2 linked regions of the Styela clava genome follow. The protein of the gene in region 1 purifies or fractionates together with the protein of each later gene. This does not show direct contact. Links are inferred from orthologs where the notes say so. Each region holds a gene or a part of one and is shown on either strand. Other genes may lie near its edges.

What was found.
Region 2: the proteins of ribosome biogenesis protein wdr12-like (region 1) and ribosome biogenesis protein bop1-like purify together in Homo sapiens (affinity purification with western blotting; 6 studies listed by BioGRID and IntAct, with this or other methods). This does not show direct contact. The link is inferred for Styela clava from reciprocal best matches to the Homo sapiens genes WDR12 and BOP1.

Annotation. Positions count from the first base shown.
Region 1 is NC_135261.1:8,152,387-8,163,106, forward strand, and holds ribosome biogenesis protein wdr12-like, read right to left. Parts: upstream 4,361-10,720; 5' UTR 4,346-4,360; coding exon 4,331-4,345; intron 2,620-4,330; coding exon 1,291-2,619; 3' UTR 1,271-1,290; downstream 1-1,270.
Region 2 is NC_135260.1:8,268,657-8,279,727, forward strand, and holds the start of ribosome biogenesis protein bop1-like, read right to left. Parts: upstream 5,131-11,071; 5' UTR 4,874-5,130; coding exon 4,826-4,873; intron 4,564-4,825; coding exon 4,500-4,563; intron 4,028-4,499; coding exon 3,855-4,027; intron 3,307-3,854; coding exon 3,152-3,306; intron 2,914-3,151; coding exon 2,796-2,913; intron 2,284-2,795; coding exon 2,182-2,283; intron 1,841-2,181; coding exon 1,724-1,840; intron 1,420-1,723; coding exon 1,306-1,419; intron 891-1,305; coding exon 729-890; intron 163-728; coding exon 12-162; intron 1-11. UniProt on the Homo sapiens protein: Component of the PeBoW complex, which is required for maturation of 28S and 5.8S ribosomal RNAs and formation of the 60S ribosome.

The DNA of each region.
Region 1 (10,720 bases):
GATACATTGTAGCAAGTTGCATAATGGTTGCACAATTTTGAAAAAAAATCGAAAGTCGGATAAGGGGGAGGGGTGGTCTTCCCCACTTTCTTGTCCCCAAGAGTATAATAAAATGTCAAATATTTTAATGAATTTATTGGACACGTAGTGGATCGTTTCAATATTATGTTGATCTTGTTGTTTGATACAGAATACCACACCTAGTGGAAATATTAAAAAACCGCTTTTCTCTTCGAATACTGGACCAATTGCTTTGAAAATTTCAGTGGTTGAAGATGAAATTTTTCCCCAGAAGGCTATTACTTTTACTCATTTTAAATATTTCTGTTAGCTCTGAGAGATCTGTTTTTGTTTGCTATGACGTCATTAAACGTTCTGCGGGCATCGGACGCCATTTTGTGTCCTACTAGTCTGTACTGCTTCGCTTGGTGTGAATATATTTGTAGACTGACGGCACGGTAAACCGTACTGCGAACAGACGTGTCCATATATTTGGGCGTAGCTCTCTTGTTCTATACAAGTTTGCAAAGCATAACCGCCAAATCCTCTATTCTGAACTTTTATTTTGTTTATAGGATTTTGTAGGTGTACGGCCGCACTATTTTTTCACGACGGCCGCAGGTTGTGCACCGTTGCTTGAAATGCATGAATAAGCGTCGTATTGAAAAACAAATTGACACACCTCCAAAATTTTGGACTGGCTCCATCCTTGCCTATGAAGACTCTCTATAGCAGTGGTTGTCAAATTTTTTGAGCCGCGCCCCTATTTAGAATTTATCAAGTATTTATCCCAGGGCAGAGGAAAGTCGGTAAGCCGGCTTAACCATATGGCGAACCACGGCCTCTCGTCCGGTTACCATTTCATGTCGGGTATGGGATAAGTTACAGTAGTTATTTGTTTTCGGAGGCATGGACACAAATAGGTAGAATATTTTTGAAGTCACATATTATCGGAAGATGGTTTAAATATATGATGTAAATTTCTTTTTAACAATGATCCAAAGAGAAGTTGATAAGCGTGAACTATTCTTGGTGAACATTTGTTTCACATGGAAAGTGACTCGGCAGTGTTGCGCATCGTGCTAAGCGTTAGGAAGCTGGTATTGATTACATTTCGTCTCATAATATTTAGAATCCATTCTCTTGCTAAAGTGAGCCAAATCATCAAAGGATAGAAATTGATGTTTAAAACATTGCAGACATTCAGTCAGACTTAGAATGTGAATTCATAGGCTCAAATCTTATTCCTATTATTAAGAGAATACTCAGATTAAAAATCTGTATTTATTTTCATGATACAGAATTGTATCGAAACTTGTACAAATTTTTATCTGCACCTCCACTGAATATAATGTCATCATTACTCCAATCCAAACACATAACTTTATCTTGGTGTGCATTCACATCAAAAAGTGGAGTTTGCGGACTTCGTATATCCCATAATTTAACTGTATAATCGAGAGATCCAGACACTAGTTGATATTGATTACTGGGTGACCACTTTACACAGGTGATCCATCCAGTATGTGAAGTTAGATTACATTTAATTAAAGATCCTTTAGAGAATATTTCATCTTTTCCTCGTGGATCCCAAATTCTGATATGCCGATCCGAACTTCCGGTCGCAAGTAGATTACTATGAAAAGAGTAGTCACATGCTAAGAATACTTTTGCTCCACGCAAGTTTAATTTTTCTTTACCCTCATTTATGTCCCAAACATTGATTGTATGATCCCAAGACACACTGCATAAATCGGAAGATGATAACCATACAAGTGATGACACTGCTTCTCGGTGACCTGCTAATGTCGATTTTGGAACTCTAGTAACACCACGCTGCTCTATACGCTGACGTTTTTTCTTGTTTCTTGCTTTTCGAAAATCTTCTGGCTCATTTGAGTCATCTTGTGGAACAGGAGATGTCGACCATAATTTTATTGAACTGTCCCACGAACCGGTAGCAAAGGCTTCCATTTCAGGATGAACTGACACGCAATCAACACTTTTAGAATGCCCCCGGCAGCAAAATAAAGGTTTTATAGTTTCTTCACCTTTTTCCCATTGCCATAAAATGGCACTTTGGTCCTGGGATGAGCTTATCAAATAAGCAGTCTTATCATTATTGACACGATTTACCCATGATACTGCCTTTACAGGTTCTGTATGACCGAAACCATATATACAAGGTTTTGAACTATCCATATTCCAAATTGATACAGTGCAATCATACGATCCTGTCAAAATGAATTCTTTTGTACTTTGTACACTGCTAATCCAATCATCCTGTGTAAATTGATCTTCTGGTTTCGGACTTTCTTGTTTCAAAATGTATTCAATTTCCACAACCTTTTCTGTCGATATACCTTTATTCTCGATGTATTGGTTAAGTGGAATTCTCAAAAACTCTCCATTCACAAGAAAATCAAATTCCATATTTTGATATTCATTTTCATCATCTATCGCATCTTTGACTCCTTCCTTCAAAACTTTATTTACGAGATTTGTTAATTCTGTAACAGTTACTTCTCCCGGCAGTTCAAACATGGTATCTGCAATCTTATATTTCTCATCCTGAGTTACAAGCTTAGCTTGAATATGATCCGCCATATTGTTAGGTATCTTTTAAAACAAAATATTATTAACACATTATTACATAAAGAGTACATGTGAATGAGGCTCTTTGACACACGATTTACGTTCGTTCATTCACTGAATATGCAGAAAAAATGTGAATCACATCATAAAAAATATTGTTTTTTATACAGTGATTTCATGCGTCCACCCCAAACGCTCTATAGATACATTGATATCTGGATATGCAAGACATATTGTTTTATTTCTGGTTCAGCATTGCCAAGCAAATTAATACACCCCAGGCAGCCGGGATAAATGGTGGACAAGAGGCTTGTACCTGTGATCATGAAAATGTGATGTTAACATAGTTAATTACAACGCTTCATCCTTTGCATTAGAATATAATAAGAAACATGAATTATTCAACATTGGCCTATGTCTGTATGTATTACATATAATCGGATGAAGGCAACCAAACCCAAAATAATGGGTCTCGTGTAGTTTCATACCATAACTAACTTGTAAAGATTTTTGGGGTCTGGTATAGTTTAGTACAACATGTACTTCTAGTTGACCTGGCTCAACAATTTTTGCATATGTCAATCCTAACCCCCAACTGACTACGTCACCGAAAAATTACGTCATTTCGACGTCACAGTGGCGTAATAAGGCCCTCCGAAGCCAGTCTGGATTTCAGGGCCTTTTCGAACGAGAAATCGGGCGTGCAATCAGAAATTCCCGCGTGCAAATAAGAATTTCTGGCGTGCAAAACAACTGCGCCCGCTAAACTGATTTCGAACTAAGATGCCTCTCAATACATCCGCGTAAAAATAAGTTGGATCATAGCAAAAATGGACGTTTGACCTTTGACCCCAAAACATCATTTCTATATTTTGTCACTAATTTTGAGAGTGTTTGTGCGACTTTAGATACCGGTACTGTTCAGTACATCCGTGTAAAATTATTGTATTAAAAATGCGCTGAATCAGAGCCATAACTGCCCAGCGTCGGTGAGGAGGCGATTTTTCTCACGGGATTCCTATCATTCAACACGATATGGTGATTTTTGCTTCGCATTTTTCGATCAGGCCAAATCTTGCAAGAAAGTATTAGTCGACAATTGTAAAGTTATAATTTTTTGGCATCTTTATATTACTAGATTATTGATTTAAAAACTATTTAAACCGATTTACATTGGTGAGCAATTGCAAATTTTCGGCGTGCAAAATTGAATTCGCTCGCGTGCATTTTTGTGGAGCGCTAGCGCCCTCGGGCGTGCATCTGCCATGAAATCCAGTCTGGCACCAAAGTACAGAAGTATGTGGATGGTCGTTTAAAACGCGCAGACGATCACCCGAAATCGAGCAAGCAATTTCTCTCGTTTTCTCGCCACAACAATCACTATAGGAGAGAGATCGCCGGCTTTAGCAAGTTCGTTATCGGCGGCGCAGATGTCATTTCGGGCGATCGTAATTATACTTTGGCAATCTCTATGACGTGATGGTGACGCCGTAGTGACGTAATTTTTGGATGGCATAGTCAGGTGGGGGTTAGGAATAGCATATGCAAAATTCGTTATGCTACGCCCACCGGAAGTACTTGTGGTACTAAACTATACTAGACCCCAAAATACTACCGGTACCGTAATTGGTATGCAGGTAATGTACCGGTACGGTACCGGTACCCGGTCATTTATTTTGGTTCTCTGACATAAACAATACAAAAAGTAAACAGACAAAACAAAATGCAGAGATACCTGAGAGACTGGCATAACTTAAAAAGCGTACAATGTACGTGCCCGCCCACCAAAAAAGATGAAAACAAACACAGAAAAACGCGATTTGCAATCGGGCAGTACTTTGAAAGCAATTTAACAAAAACAGCAATTGAAGCAATTGAACAATTGAAGTAAATAATTGAATGCAATAAACTTCTACCTTTTAAATTAAAATAGTGCTTTTCCTACAAAACATGGAATAAACCATTTTGCCTGCCTACGCCTTACGAAAGTCTGCACACGTGCTAGTTGTAGTAGTTCGATTAACTTCAAAGTGACGGACAATGAAAACTAAAATACAGTGGTGTATGGAGTCGAGCATGCTTCTAATGGACGTTTTTGGATACAAAATAGAACTGTGGATTGTTTTGTTCTTGGACACGAAATGGACCTATGGTCATGAATCGTTTTGTTGTTATATCATTTGTTTTGGAATATTCATTGGTTAAAGATTGGGTACTTCTGCAGTATGCGACAGGAGCACCAAAGTTTGTATTTTTCGCTAAAAGGTTATTACTTTTATTTATTTCGAAACTTTTTGTGGGCTCCATGGGATTCGATCAATGCTGAGTTTGTATTTTTCGCTAGAAGGCTATTGCGTTTATTTATTTCCAAAAATTGTATGAAATTTATGATTTGTTTTTGTGTGCGATGAATTCATCAAAATTAAAAATTCCCATCTTGTGGCGGTTCCGCGTTCGTATAACAGCAAAGCGAATTCGTTGAAGACCCCGGTACTTGTAGTCTTTTGTAACCGGTATGTTAGTCGTTGTTTGTAACAGATGGCATAACCGTACTACTTCATGTCCATATATTTGTGCATTGCTCTTTTGTATCTCAACATAGTATAATTTGACAACAAAAAAGTAGAAACTACTGAAAATTTAACAAAAGTATAATTTAGTGTTTAATCTAAACTAAAAACTCGGCTCCACGGTATGATGCATCGCGCTAAGCGTTAGAAATACGCTCGCCACCACTCTAATTATCTTGCGTGGGTTCGAATAAACAAGAGCTGGATATTTCAATGAAATAGAAAATGTCAGATTTACCTGTATCCAGCTCTGTGTAAATATCTCATCCCAACCCCACCGCAATTTAAAAAAAATGACTAACTCAAATTGTACAAGGACAAGAAAATGGCAAAATCATCGCTGTTGAAAGTGGGATTGATAATTACTCCTCATTCTTATTCCTATCTACAAACTAATAACTATACGGCGTCTTAAACACCTATTTGGAAACCCAGCGACAAGCAATTTTTATATCTAATTTGACGAAGTTTATTTAGCGCCGGCCTGGTCTGTTGAAATGGTCGAATCGGTCTCTATATATTCTAACCTGCTTAGAATTAGCTTTCAGTAACCAAACCTGGTTTTATTTTGCACGGGCGGTATCCCCCTGCACCAACTCAAATATTGAAGTCTTGAGTCTGTTCAAGAGTGCTGTACTACTCTCTTGATGAAGTTTAAAGCTGGCCAGAGAAGAAAGGCAACATCTACGAGGCATTGATTATTCGCTGTATAATTAAGGTTTTAAATCTAACCTAAACTAGCAGAATAGTCTAACTTGATTCTCCCCCTGCACCAACTCAAATATTGAAGTCTTGAGTCTGTTCAAGAGTGCTGTACTACTCTCTTGATGAAGTTTAAAGCTGGCCAGAGAAGAAAGGCAACATCTACGAGGCATTGATTATTCGCTGTATAATTAAGGTTTTAAATCTAACCTAAACTAGCAGAATAGTCTAACTTGATTCTTCGCTGCCTATTTTAACATCAATTCCAGCGTATATCTCAAACATCCACAACAACATGGCTTCGATCAATAATACCACCAAACCAAAGCCTAAGCAACGCCTGAGTAGAAGTCTTCCCGATCCAGGCCTTTCACCAATTGGATCTGTATTGCAACAACAGAAGGAACACTCTAACTTCCAGATAAACCTACAGGAGGCAATACAAACAAACATCATGAACCAGTTACCATCCCTAATTGCCAAATGCTTAACAGAAAACTTCAGCTCTGCAAACTTTTCATCAGAATACCTACCAATGAGTCCAGGTCTAAAAGAATGCATGGAGGAACAGATGATATCTCTGAAAGAAATTAAACAAGACCTTGCTTCTATCAGAGAATCACAAAGCTTCCAATCTGAGAAATATGACGAAGTTATTGCAAAGCAAAAAGTTACAGATGAGAAACTTACTCTTTATAGCAAAAAAATACGAGATCTCGAAGAGTTAGTTTACGATCTTGAAGATGAGTTATTTTATGTCACAGAAAAAATAGAAGAACATGAACGTCGATCTAGGATGGATAACCTAGAATTTCATGGCATTCCATCAACCGAAAATGAAGATACTGATGAACTAGTAACACAAATCGGAAAAATTATCCATGTAGACATAAAGCCTTCAGACATCTCCGTAACACACCGCTGTCCAACAAGGAATACCAACATCCATAAACCAATTGTAGCGAAATTCACAAACCGCAAAATCCGAGCCAAGATACTCAAAAATCGAAACTTGATCAAAACCTCTAACAATACAACATCTATAAGAGACTTGTCAAAGGTGTTCGTGGTTGAAAACCTAACCGAAAGAAATAAAAACTTATTTTACCAAGCGAAGGTCCTCAAGAAGCGATGTGGTTACGCCTTTCTGTGGACATCAAATGGCAAGATATTGATTAAAAAGAACAAAGACACGAACACTCTGTCCATAACTGATGAAGACGATCTGGATAAAATAAGATAAGTCCAATGATTTTTCCACTGCTATACTTAAGTAAATTATTAATTCCCCTTATGACCTATTTAAGAACCTTCAGTATCTTTTGGAAAATTTCAAGCTATGACATTCCCCCCATCGCACTAGCCTATTTGATCACAATCTATTACATGTTCTTTAAAATTGTATCCATTATCATCACCTATCTATGACCTAAACAGTGATCCCAACCCAAACTGGGAATCTATCAACTTTCACCCTGAAATTTCTTCTACCCCAAGTCAATATCTTGAAATATCTGATATCAACAGGGTAACGTCAAGTTTTCTACCTTCAGAGTTCATCATTTTGCACCTTAATATTAGATCATTACCTAAATATTCTGATAATTTAGTTGAATTGATTTCCAATTTTTGTACTCCACCTCAAATCATCGCCTTAAGCGAGACCAGGATCATAAGTGACAGTGTTGCGAATGTTAATATCCCTGGGTACACCTTCATACATGCTCCATCCCCAACTCGAGCAGGCGGTGTTGGTTTTTATATTGATAGCAATTTAAATTATCATGCATGCTCTAAACTCGGCTTAGAATTTCCTAACTGCGAAGACATTTGGATTGAATTAAAGAACTTCCAACCAACCTCAAAAATTCAAAATCTTGTTGTTGGTGTAATATATAGGCATCCCAAAAATAATATTCCAGCGTTCACCACAGCAATGTCCTGTCTATTCGAGAAGCTGACAATGGCTAAAAAGCAATTTATAATATTAGGTGATTTCAATTTAAATCTTCTTGATTCTCATAACAATCTCACTACCAAGTATTTAGACATGCTCATGACTAATTTTATATGCCCGCTCATTACCAAACCAACCAGAGTTACCTCGACCTCTCACACCCTTATAGACCATATTTACACCAATACCGTAAATTTCTGCAATTCATCATTTATTTTGCTCAGTGATCTCACTGACCACTTTCCCGTAATGTGCACAATATCAGCAACTACTGGCAATATAAAGACAAACACTCGCATGAAACGTGACATGACTAAATTTTGTGTTGACCTGTTCAGATTGGAGGTTGAGTCGATCTGTAACAATTATACTAGTATTAGCATACATGAGGAAAACTTCAATAGCTCATTCGATCTTTTTCTTAGTCACTTCAAATGGTTGATTAATAAACATGCTCCATTAAGACCATTTTCGCGTAGAGAAAATAAACTTTACTCTAAACCGTGGATTACTAAAGGAATTCGTAAGTCCATCAAACATAAAAACAATATGTTTAGAAAAAAATTCTTAAAGGGAAACTCATCCCAGCGTCTCCACTTCAAAAAATACAAGAACATTTTGACGCACTTGCAGAGAAAATCAAAACAAATGTATTACCATAATATCCTTGAAAACAACAGAGGGGATGTGAAGCACACTTGGAAAACTATCAATGACATTATTAAAGTTAGGTCCAAAAATGAATCCATCGTCTCTGAATTGGAGCTTGAAAATGGTGCCACAGTTTCCGACCCCGCCAGAATATCCGCCGAATTCAATAAATTCTTTTCATCTGTAGGAAAGAAACTTGCTGACAATATTCCACATAGCAAGAAATCTTTCAAAGCTTTCTTGAGTGCTCCCTCACAGCACTCTTTTTTTCTGGAGCAAACGACACCTTCCGAGGTTCACCAAATAATATTGAACCTGAAAAAGGGCAAAGCAGTTGGACATGATGGTATTTCCCCGTTTTTCTTAAAAATAGTTGCAGATATTATTTCTCCAGAACTGAGTCACTTTTTTAATTTATCATTCAATTATGGTATTTTCCCCTCCTCATTAAAGATTGCCAGGGTTATACCAATCTTCAAAAGCGGCAACAAAAATAATCCCTCTAATTATCGGCCAATTTCCATTCTATCTTCAATTGGTCTTATTCTGGAAAAGTTAATATACAAGAGAATGCTAATTTTTTGTACCAAATTCAACTTGATCAATAAATGCCAATTCGGATTCCAACCCGACCACTCTACTAGCCATGCCATCCTAGACTTAACATCATATATTTATGACAAAATAGATAAATGTGAGTTTGTCTGCTGTGCTTTCCTTGATCTAAAGAAAGCCTTTGACACGGTGGACCACAAAATTCTTATTCAAAAGTTGCAACATTATGGTTTCAGAGGTAATGTAAGCAAACTACTAGCTAATTACCTGAGTGGTCGTTTTCAATTTGTTGAATTAGGTTCTCATAAGTCCCCAATGTTGCCCATTCAGTGCGGAATTGTCCAGGGTTCAATTATCGGGCCTTTGGCTTTTTTACTCTCTGTAAATGACTTGTCGAACTGCTCTAATCTTCTAACCAAGCTCTTCGCCGATGATGCCTGCCTGCTTGCTAGTGGAAAAGACTTGACCACACTCCAACACACTGTAAACTCAGAAATAAATAAAATATATGAGTGGATGTTATGCAACAAACTTACTGTAAATGTCGAAAAATCTAAAGTCATGGTTTTCAGCCGAAAATCGCTAACAACACATGCCAACATTCTAATCAAAATCAGGGGGGTTGCCTTGGAAGTCGTCCAATCCTATATATATCTCGGGCTCCATATAGATAATAATTTAAAATGGAACACCCATACTATCGAATTACATAAGAAATTGTCGAGATCGGTTGGGATATTGGGAAAACTCAGACATTATGTCCAGGATGCCACCCTGCGAACTGTCTACTTTGCTCTCTTTCAATCCCACATACAATATGCCATAACCGCTTGGGGCTCAGCAGCGCAAACTAACATTCATAAATTGGAGATCTTACAGAATAAAGCTGTTAGAACCCTCTCTAGAGCATCTATTCGTACAAACCTAAACACCCTATACCATAAAACAAGGGTGTTAAAACTATCTGACATTCACACTCTAGAGATCTCCAAAGTTATGCACCAATTTCAAAACAACCACTTGCCCACAGCTTTCGACAATTATTTTGTTTCGCTTACCTCTGTGCATGAACACAACACTCGCTCTTCAACCAAGTCCAATTTTTTCGTACCTCGCTTTTCACTGAGCAAATCTCAAAATTCCCTGAAATACAAAGGTGTCATAATATGGAATAGTATTCCACAAAGTTTACGTGAAAGCACATATGTCTCTTTTAAAATAAAATATAAGAAGGTCATGCTTTCATCTTACCTGTCTCGGGTCACCACATCTGTTTGATGTGCTGACACCCTCCACCCCTTGTCATTGTCAGCTCAACACTTGACTTCCCCAAAATCCACAGTAACTGAAATAGATAGAGACTCTGTAAATATTGAACTTGTTATTTCCCCCACCGTGTCAGTGCACAGCCATGTGCCACTCATACAATAACCAAACTATTTATCTTGCCAACATCAGGCTCAGACGGGTTATCTTGGATCCAAACCATACCGGTAGTCTATACCGGTGGGTCACTTCACCCATGATCCATAATTTTGGTCTCAGATTGTGTACAAATACTTAGCTATCCTTTATGTCTTTGTCAAGTGCCAGTATACTCACCAATTTCATAATTTTAATGATATTGCAACTTACTAAATTTATGTCTTTTCCATATACTGTTTGCTTGGGTATCGATACCGTAAAGTGT
Region 2 (11,071 bases), on another chromosome or scaffold:
CAATTAATTACCTGAAGCGATCCATTGTCCAGATTGATGAACAGAAATGGACCTAATGATATTTTCATGTCCTCGATAACATAGAGCTTGTACTGTAGGAAATGGTTGCAAGTCACTCGGTTTTGGTAATTTTGGAATCAAATCTTCTGGATCAACATTAACCTGGAAAAATTGTTGGAAGATCATTTTATGGAAGAAGAAGTTGTACCAGAATTCAGACACTGTTTGATTGGACAATCCAAAAATTTGAATTTACGATATTCACTCTGGAGCAATAGAGACGCAATTACCAAAATATATTTATGCAGAAGAGCGTCTCACATTATCAGTGATTTCATGCAAATGAAATTGGACCACATAAAATAATACATGGTACACAAAGTCAAAAAGATTTTTATATTGTCGTCAAGAAGCAAACTGATTTCACAAATTTGCGTTACTACCTGTACTTAGAACTTGACATAAAATGATCAAATCTTTTCAGAGACCACTTGTAACATTGTATGACTTTTTGCACACAAAAGCAAACTTGTGCATCGCATGATCAAATTTGCATATATTATGAAAATTTGATAATTTAATCAGTAAAGTGAAAGTTTCTCCCCAAAAGTTTGTATTACAGACAGTAAATCTATGACTTTAAAGTTTGGGAATTTGTGCTCTAGTTTCTCAAATAAAGAATGAAATCCTGCCCCCTTTCAGCCAGAAGACTAGAAATGCAAACTTACTCTCATTTTTCGTTGTCTTGGACATAAATATAAATCAAGGCATCTTGCAAAAGCATCTTGAATAAATTTAGGATACTGAGGAACTTTCCGTAAACAATCATATTTTTGAGGCACAAAATTTGTTTTCCTATCCTCTGGATCCTCTTGTTCCCATGCCAGTCTCTAGATAGAGTATTTTTTGATTGAAATAGGATAATTCGAGTAAATTGCTATTAAAAATAGAGTGTCTTTATCAGCGTAGCAAGTTTAATAATAGAGGAAAAACCTAATAGGTATTATATTTGAACAATATACATATAAACATTCTCGAATTTGAATGGAAACTTGTAGAACTCCATGACTGCCCCGGTGAAACCCCGGTAGAGAACAACTGGGTTAGAAAATTGACGTTGGTTGCGAATACAGGTCCGATACAATTTTAATATATCACAATTCTCGAAAAAATCATAAAATGTACTAAACTCCCAACTTCAAATTTCGTTGAAATAATGAAAAAAACAGTACTTTCCACGATGGGTAATCTTCTATTAAACTTTTACTGGATGATTTATAAGCTAAAAGAAAAAATTAAAGTCACCTCTTCTTCGGACATTAGATATTCAGGTGGAGGATTATAAGAAGCTTCATGTCCTGGCAATTTGACTTTTGGTGCAGGAATATGCATCTTACGACGAGCAATTTGACTGTGTGACTGGAATTTAATACAAGAAAAAATATAAAATATTTTACTATTCAATTATTATTGCAATCACAAAGAGAGAGAGAGAGAGAGAGAGACATAATCATATGACAAACCATGCCTTCTGATACCGTTACGAGTTACCAGTTTTAGGAATAGCCAAGAAGTTGGATGTTTCATGTTTATGGATTTAATTAGTAAACAGGCAAACGATCTATGCAGACTAGAATATTTACAGAGTGGCCTACATAGTAATTTTTTCAAAATATTTGAAACCGATAATTGAGCAAAAATTTCATATTTTCTTTATGCTCACCAAGTTTTCATCTTTGCTATCTGCCCACAAATCAAAAAATACAGGTTGTTCATCTTCTTTTTTCTCTTTTCTAGGTTTTAACCAACCCATCTTGATGGCATGCACAAGTTTCCCAACCTAGAAATGTATTCAACAAAAACTGTTAAATCTGTAGTTTTACGTGTTTACATTAATATCAGAGTCGAGGCCAGATTTGTGTTTCAATATTCCCGGAGAATTCGGGAAATATTCGTTCGAAATTTTGAACTTCCAATACTGGTGAGCAAGGTCAAAATTTGAATGGAAACTGAAAAGCCTAACCCATTCCCATTTGATCATTTTGAAAGATGAATATTTAATGATTTTAAAACAAAAACACTTTGTTGAAATACAGTTCTAGCCATCAAACATATACCTGTTGGTCACAATTCAAATAGCAAACTGTTTCATTTCGCCAACTCAAAATTCTTACTACTGACCTTAAGTTTTTCATGATGTGATGGTGTAAAACTTCTCTTGTGTGCTGGTGCATTGTTGATAGGATGAATCATTTTTTCATGTGTGAAGAAATCGACATAAGGCTAAATAGCAAAAGACAAAACCTTATAATCCAGATCTTTGAAATAAAAAGCAAAAACTTCCTTCATTCAATAGAAACAAGCCAGGGAGGCTAATTATACTGAGATACATATCTCCTATTCCCGAGCTTCCATACTCTTTTTTTATTTCATACCTATAACGACGCTCCAGAAGTGTGTGTACCAAAATGGAGGTGACTAATTTTGTTCGCTTACTTTACATCAAGTTGTATAAAGGGACTGAAACCTATGGGCAGGGGGTATATTCACTTGGCTAACACAGACAGTCCACGAACTCGTAATAGAACTAAAATGAGAAAAATCGGAATAAGATTATGGCCCAACCCTGACCTGGTACACAAAATACAGGAGTACACCTGAGTCTATACCTGCTTTACCAACAAAATCCACTAAAGGTATGTCTCACAAAATCTAGGGGAAAATAATTTATGTATCTATTCCCTTATTAAGTCTTCAAGTTTGACGCTTATTTTTAAAACAAATTGATATGTTACCTCATAGGGATCGATTGTTGAATTATAAAATTTTCCAGTCTTAAGTCTTGACACAAGTTGCAATTCATCTTCAGTCAATTTATGATCACGAGCTGTGTTTTCATCATAAACAGTTTTCCTGAGAAAATGAAATCATAAATAGAATTAGCACCAATACTATAGACAGCAGTAGGTGGTTCAGATATTACCCATATTATATTTTCAAAGCCCAGATCATTAAAGTAAAGAGTTTAGAGACTCTTATTTAACCAAGAATTGTAGAAAACACAAGGTACAGCTGTAATATAGAAACACCAGACAATAAATTATTAAAATTCCTTAAATAAAAAAATAAATCCTTGATTCCAATATCTTACCAATAATCAGGATTGTCCATTTTGTCTAAAAATTTATCCAGTTCATCCATATTTCTGATGGGTTTAGATATTTGTTTCCCATCCAAGTCATAACCGATATGTGGGAAATTCTCGTACCATTTCATAGGTATATTTCCTACTGTGTTCCTAATATCCTGTAAATGAAGAAAATATACATATTACATAAACACCATCGGAAACATGGGAGGAAAAATGGTGCTACGCCAGGTGATTCGAATTGAGATATTCACATTTAGCAATAGGCAGTAATTTGAAAACTGTTGGCTATCTCTGAGAAATTTTCTTTTCCATATGACGCTTACTCATGTCTTTCATACTTGTACTAGCAGCAACTGATATCTAATGACATGTGTGGAATCGTTCTCGTTCGACATTGCCTATCTAATTTATTACAAGCTGGGTAAAACTAATTATAGACTATATTTTTTTATGGTTCTGTTTCAAATAAATGTAAAATTAAATTAAATGTTTCAAATAAATGTGATAAAAAATTCATTTTATAATTTTAATAATAATAATAATTTTAGCAATAGACCTTTCTGAATGATATTTTTCTTTTGATGTCGTTTTTTTAGACAAATTCACTCAAAGATTATTTGTTGTTGGATATTCGCAACAACAGACTTTGTTGAAGTGCACATTCAACAGATCTATGATATTCTTATATTATATACAATGTTACCTCTTCATCAGATGTGTCATTATCATCATTATTGGCATCTGTAACGTCAGAGGATGGTGTTACTCGCTTTATGATTGATGAAGATTCTGTTTTCTCTTGATCCTGATTTCTTTCATCACTCAATTTTAAATAATCTTCATCAACACCAGAATCTTCACTTGATAAATCAAAATCTGGGAAAATAATGAATGGAATAAAGCATAGCCCAAAAAATTGAGTTGGCGTACAATAGCGTAAATATTGACAAAATGAATCCATTCAGCAGTGCGGATAAGATAGATAGTTAATCTTGAAAAATTCATACATTAATAAACACTAATAGAAAGAGAAAATTCTGGAGAGCGAGCAAAACCTCGCAAAATAAATATAGACATATTATTGGAATTTTAGTCCGATGTTTCTGTTCGTGCTTTAATTGGAATGGCGTCATGTTTGAATCTTCATAAAGTAAATGTTTTCGACTCCCAGGGTTTGAAATTTCAAGCATGATTATTTGAGCAGGTAGGATTGGAAAATGAAATTTTCTAGAAAAAATTTTGTTACCAAGAGTGACAGATTGAGTCAAAATTTTAAGAAATGAATTGATGAAAATGTTCTCGGGAATTTAACAAGATCAATAAATTTCATAAACACAATGTTAATTACCTGACTCATTTTCACTCAGTTCATCTTCAGAGGACTCCTCTATCTTTATATTAGTGTCAAGAATCTGAATAAATAGAATAATAATATGACCGTCAAAAAATATTTCAGTATTTATATTGTCTCATATCTGCATATGTGATTACAGGATTAGTGCATAGAGGAGTACTGGAGTAGGTTAGGTCAGGTAATTTAGTAACTGCTGGTCCCAATGCTGTTTATGTCAGTAGTAATAACTTATGACGTTACCAATATTTGAAAGTTTGTGGAATTTTAAATATTTTAAAATCTGGAAATAAAATCTTCAGTTTTACAGAATTGTCACTTACTTTATTACTATCGTCATCCAGCTTCCGCTTTTCAATTGACTTCCTCATTCTAATCCAAGTGTGAGATCTTTTTAATTACTACAAATCAAATTGTTTATGCAATACTGCAATACCGGTACCCTGACCTGACAGCAGGAAAGTATGTCGGTATGGTACGTACAGACAGACGTACGGTAGGCTACTCTGGACAGAAAAATAAATCAATCAATTACAAACTTGCTGACAAAAAACTCTTCAATAATCAGGCACTATCAGTCAGTCAGTAGGTCAGCATGGGAAAATATGGCAAAAGCATCGCATGGTGACATGCTTGTGCTTTTCTTCAAAAACGTGAAAACAAACCCTTCGTAAAAAACAGGACTCCAACCACCGTCGTTACACCGATGCAATTCTGATACAGGAGACATTGCATGGCAAAAATATCTAATGGTCATTTCTGAAGCATTATATGGAAAGAAGCAATTATCAAGTTGACAAAGCACAAAAATCAAAAACTGAAATGTATTAGAGAATGCGAAAATAAGCAGATTTATATTGGTATCCGTAGTTATAAATGATATTTTACTGGATAAGATAAATGGGAAAAAGTATTAACGAAGTTTGAAGAACTTAAAAGGAAAACATCAAAAAGAATCCAGGGTAAGGTCGCTGCGCTACCCGCGAGGGGAAATGTATGGAAATATTTGTAGTAAATTTAGAAGCATATGTTTGTTTGAAGTTTGTTGGAGGACCCGGGTCGTTGCGCCGGACGAATGACGGAAATTCGTCCGGCGCTGTGCCCCCGACCACTCTAGTCCATTAGGAAGTTCAAATACCCTGTAATAAACTGATCACCCCTTACCGGAGTCGAATTTTTCCAATTTTAAGGTCCGTGATCACTCAACCGTTACGAAATTTTTTTGACATAAACTAGACCTCAACTACCTTGCATGACCCGAATATGGCGCCTCTACCTTCTACCATTCTCGAGATATAACGTGAAATCACTGGGGCGTGACTGAGGTGATGGAGAAATAAAATTTCTTTCAAAATAGATTCAAATAATTTTTCTAAACATGCCCATGCCTTTACTTTCTCAACAGGTCCTTTCAGAGGCCCGCAATAAGCCAAAATCACTAGACCATGACTGGGGAGTGAGAGAAAAAAAATTTCTTGAAAAAAGCATTAAACTAAATTTTCCCAACATATCTATCTATTTTATTTCTCGATAGCTCAATTTTTAGGTGCGCAACCTTCTTACGCCACTGGAGGGCGATTGGGAGGGGGAATTCCCAAGATTCAGGTGGTGAAATATTCTATATATTAGTCCCTTTGAGGTTTAAGCATCACTTTGCCCCAAAACCAATTCCAAGTGCTCCTAATAGCCCAAAAACCATATTATCTAAGTGGGCGTGGCTTTCCACACGTTTTCTCACCACTGGGGGGGCGGTGGCAGTGCCCCCACCCCCAATTGCACTTGGAAAAAATCCCAATACTCGGGCAAACGCTTTCTGGCCCCGGAAACGCAGCTAAACGACTTCTAAACCCCAAAATCACTCTTGCGAGACTTGATTGACAGCTTGAAATAATTAATGTCACGCAACCTTAAATTTGGGCCACCAAAAGCCCGTTTTGGCCCACTTCCTTTGGCCCGATCGTTCTGAAAAATTTTATTTGCTATTTTGGTAACTGCACCCTACTACATGCCAAGTTTCGTTCCGATCGGCCCGCCAGTTTTCTGGGAAATGGTAACTCGATGGGTCTTAGCCAAGAGACTTCGTCACATTATTTTTGCCCTACGCGCAAAGTCTTTTGACCATTACTGTGCATACGCACTAAAGTGCTACACTGTTGCCTGACCATCCAGGGGAAGGTCGCTACGCTACCCGCGAGGGGAAATGTATGGAAATATTTTTAGTAAATTAAGAAGCAGATGTTTGTTTGAAGTTTGTTGGAGGACCCGGGTCGTTGCGTCGGACGAATGGCGGAAATTCGTCCGGCGCTGTGCCCCCGACCCCTCTAGTCCATTAAGAAGTTCAAATACCCTGTAATAAACTGATCACCCCTAACCGGAGTGGAATTTTTCTAATTTTAAGGTCCGTGATCACTCAACCGTGACGAATTTTTTTTGCCATAAACTACCCCTCAACTACCTTGTATGACCCGAATATGGCACCTCTACCTTCTACCATTCTCCAGATATAACGTAAAATCACTGGAGCGTGACTGAGGAGATGGAGAAATAAAATTTCTTTCAAAATAGATTCAAATAATTTTTCTAAACATGCCCATGCCTTTACTTTCTCAACAGGTCCTTTCAGAGGCCTGCAATAAGCCAAAATCACTAGACCATGACTGGGGAGTGAGAGAAAAAAAATTTCTTGAAAAAAGCATTAAACTAAATTTTCCCAACATACCTATCTATTTTATTTCTCGATATCTTCGTTTTTAGGTGCGCAACCTTCTTACGCCACTGGAGGGCGATTGGGAGGGGGAAGTCCCAAAGTTGAGGTGGTGAAATATTCTATATATTGGTCCCTTTGAGATTTGAGCATCACTTTGCCCAAAAACCAATTCCAAGTGCTCCTAATAGCCCCAAAACGATATTACCTAAGTGGGCGTGGCTTTCCACACGTTTTCTCACCATTGGGGGGGCGGTGGCACTGCCCCCACCCCCAAATATACTTGGAAAAATTCCCAATACTCGGGCAAACGCTCTCCGACCCCGGAAACAGAGCTAAACGGCCTCTAAACCCCAAACTCACTCTCGCGTGACTTGACGGACAGCCGATTGACCAATCAGCAGCTTCGGGCCACTAAAATCCCGTTTTGGCCCACTTCCTTTGGCCCGATCGCTCCCAAAAATTTTCTGTGTTCTTTTGGTAACTAGCCCCCGCTACATGCAAAGTTTCGTCCGGATCGGCCCTGTGGTTCTTCAGATAATAGTGATTCACGGTCGCTTAGAGTAGTTAGCTTTAGCTATTGACTTTCGTGCAACGAAATTTGATTCTATACTGTGCATACGCACTTTCAGTGCTCTCGGGTTGCCTAACCATCCAGAATAAACGTCTGCCTGCGGCACACGACGAGGGGGGCCGCGGGCGCACAAATGGTTGGTTGGGCTCAGGCCGGTTTTGTCTACGACGCTCGGGCCGCCATCCGTTGCGTCGGACGGATCGCGGCATGATCCGACCGACGCCATCGGCCCCCCCTAACATAAAGGGTTTCAACGGTACGGACTGGAGTATATTTTTATCAATTTTAAGGTCCGTGATCACTCGACCATGACGAAATTTTATAGGCATAAACTTTACTCCAACTACCTCGTATACCCCAAATACGAGACCCCTATCTATTACCGTTCTCGAGATATGGCCTAAAATCACTGGACCGTGACTGAAGGCTAATAGAAAAAAAATTTTGCTGATACGTGATTGGAATAATTTTTCTGATCACGCCCATGCCTTTAGATTCTTGATATGACCTCTCAGAAGCCGGCAAAAGGCCAAAATCACTAGACCGTGACGGAGGCACGGGAGCAAAAAAATTTCTTGGAAAAAGTATTAAACTAAACTTTCTCAACCTACCTATGTATTTTTTTTCCTCAATATCTCAAATCTTAAGCGCAACATTCCGAACTCACTGGACCGTTACGGGGAAGGGGAATCCCCAAAGTTGAGGTGGTAATATATTCTATTAATTAGTCCCTTCCATAAATATGCATCACTTTGCCCCAAAACCGATTCCAAAGACTCCTAATCGTCCAAAAACCATATTACCCAAGTGGGCGTGGCTTTCCACAAGTTTTCTCACCACTGGGGGGGCGGGGGCACTTCCCCCACCCCCAAACATGTTTGGAAAAATTCCCAATGCCCGGGCGAACTGTTTCCCGGCCCGGAAACGCAGCCAAACGGCTTCTAAACCCCAAAATCACTCTTGCGTGACTTGACTGACAGCCCATTGACCAATCAGCAGCTTTGGGCCACTAAAAGCCAGTTTTGGCCCACTTGCCCTGGCCCGATCGTTCCGAAAAATTTTCTTTGTTAGTTTCCCCCCGTCCCCCATCTTTTGACACCTCGGGCGTGTCTCTACCATTTGCGGTTCTCCGAAAACACTCACTACTAGAGCCGTCGCCTATATTACCCACATATCATACACTTGGCCGCCGGCTTTCGATTTCTGTTGCAACTATCGTTGCCATATGCACTGACGTGGGCGGAATAGCATCCAGAATAAACGTCTGCCTGCGGCACACGACGAGGGGGGCCGCGGGCGCACAAATGGTTGGTTGGGCTCAGGCCGGTTTTGTCTACGACGCTCGAGCCGCAATCTGTTGCGTCGGACGGATCGCGGCATGATCCGACCGACGCCATCGGCCCCCCCTAACATAAAGGGTTTCAACGGTACGGACTGGAGTATATTTTTATCAATTTTGAGGTCAGTGATCACTCGACCGTGACGAAATTCTATAGGCATAAACTTTACTCCAACTACCTCGTATACCCCAAATACGAGACCCCTATCTATTACCGTTCTCGAGATATGGCCTAAAATCACTGGACCGTGACTGAAGGCTAATAGAAAAAAAATTTTGCTGATACGTGATTGGAATAATTTTTCTGATCACGCCCATGCCTTTAGATTCTTGATATGACCTCTCAGAAGCCGGCAAAAGACCAAAATCACTAGACCGTGACAGAGGCACGGGAGCAAAAAAATTTCTTGAAAAAAGTATTAAACTAAACTTTCTCAACCTACCTATGTATTTTTTTTCCTCAATATCTCAAATCTTAAGCGCAACATTCCGAACTCACTGGACCGTTACGGGGAAGGGGAATCCCCAAAGTTGAGGTGGTAATATATTCTATTAATTAGTCCCTTCCATAAATATGCATCACTTTGCCCCAAAACCGATTCCAAAGACTCCTAATCGTCCAAAAACCATATTACCCAAGTGGGCGTGGCTTTCCACACGTTTTCTCACCACTGGGGGGGCGGGGGCACTTCCCCCACCCCCAAACATGTTTGGAAAAATTCCCAATGCCCGGGCGAACCGTTTCCCGGCCCGGAAACGCAGCCAAACGGCTTCTAAACCCCAAAATCACTCTTGCGTGACTTGACTGACAGCCCATTGACCAATCAGCAGCTTTGGGCCACTAAAAGCCAGTTTTGGCCCACTTGCCCTGGCCCGATCGTTCCGAAAAATTTTCTTTGTTAGTTTCCCCCCGTCCCCCATCTTTTGACACCTCGGGCGTGTCTCTACCATTTGCGGTTCTCCGAAAACACTCACTACTAGAGCCGTCGCCTATATTACCCACATATCATACACTTGGCCGCCGGCTTTCGATTTCTGTTGCAACTATCGTTGCCATATGCACTGACGTGGGCGGAATAGCATCCAGGGGAAGGTCGCTACGCTACCCGCGAGGGGAAATGTATGGAAATATTTTTAGTAAATTAAGAAGCATTTGTTTGTTTGAAGTTTGTTGGAGGACCCGGGTCGTTGCGCCGGACGAATGACGGAAATTCGTCCGGCGCTGTGCCCCCCGACCCCGCTAGTCCATTAAGAAGTTCAAATACCCTGTAATAAACTGATCACCACTAACCGGAGTCGAATTTTTCCAATTATAAGGTCCGTGATCACTCAACCGTGACGAATTTTTTTTGACATAAACTAGACCTCAACTACCTTGTATGACCCAAATATGGCACCTCTACCTTCTACCATTCTCCAGATATAACGTAAAATCACTGGAGCGTGACTGAGGAGATGGAGAAATAAAATTTCTTTCAAAATAGATTCAAATAATTTTTTTAAACATGCCCGTGCCTTTACTTTCTCAACAGGTCCTTTCAGAGGCCTGCAATAGGCCAAAATCACTAGACCATGACTGGGGAGTGAGAGAAAAAAAATTTCTTGAAAAAAGCATTAAACTAAATTTTCCCAACATACCTATCTATTTTATTTCTCTGATAGCTTCGTTTTTAGGTGCGCAACCTTCTTACGCCACTGGAGGGCGATTGGGAGGGGGATGTCCCAAAGTTGAGGTGGTGAAATATTCTATATATTGGTCCCTTTGAGATTTGAGCATCACTTTGCCCAAAAACCAATTCCAAGTGCTCCTAATAGCCCCAAAACGATATTACCTAAGTGGGCGTGGCTTTCCACACGTTTTCTCACCAGTGGGGGGGCGGTGGCACTGCCCCCACCCCCAAATATACTTGGAAAAATTCCCAATACTCGGGCAAACGCTTTCCGACCCCGGA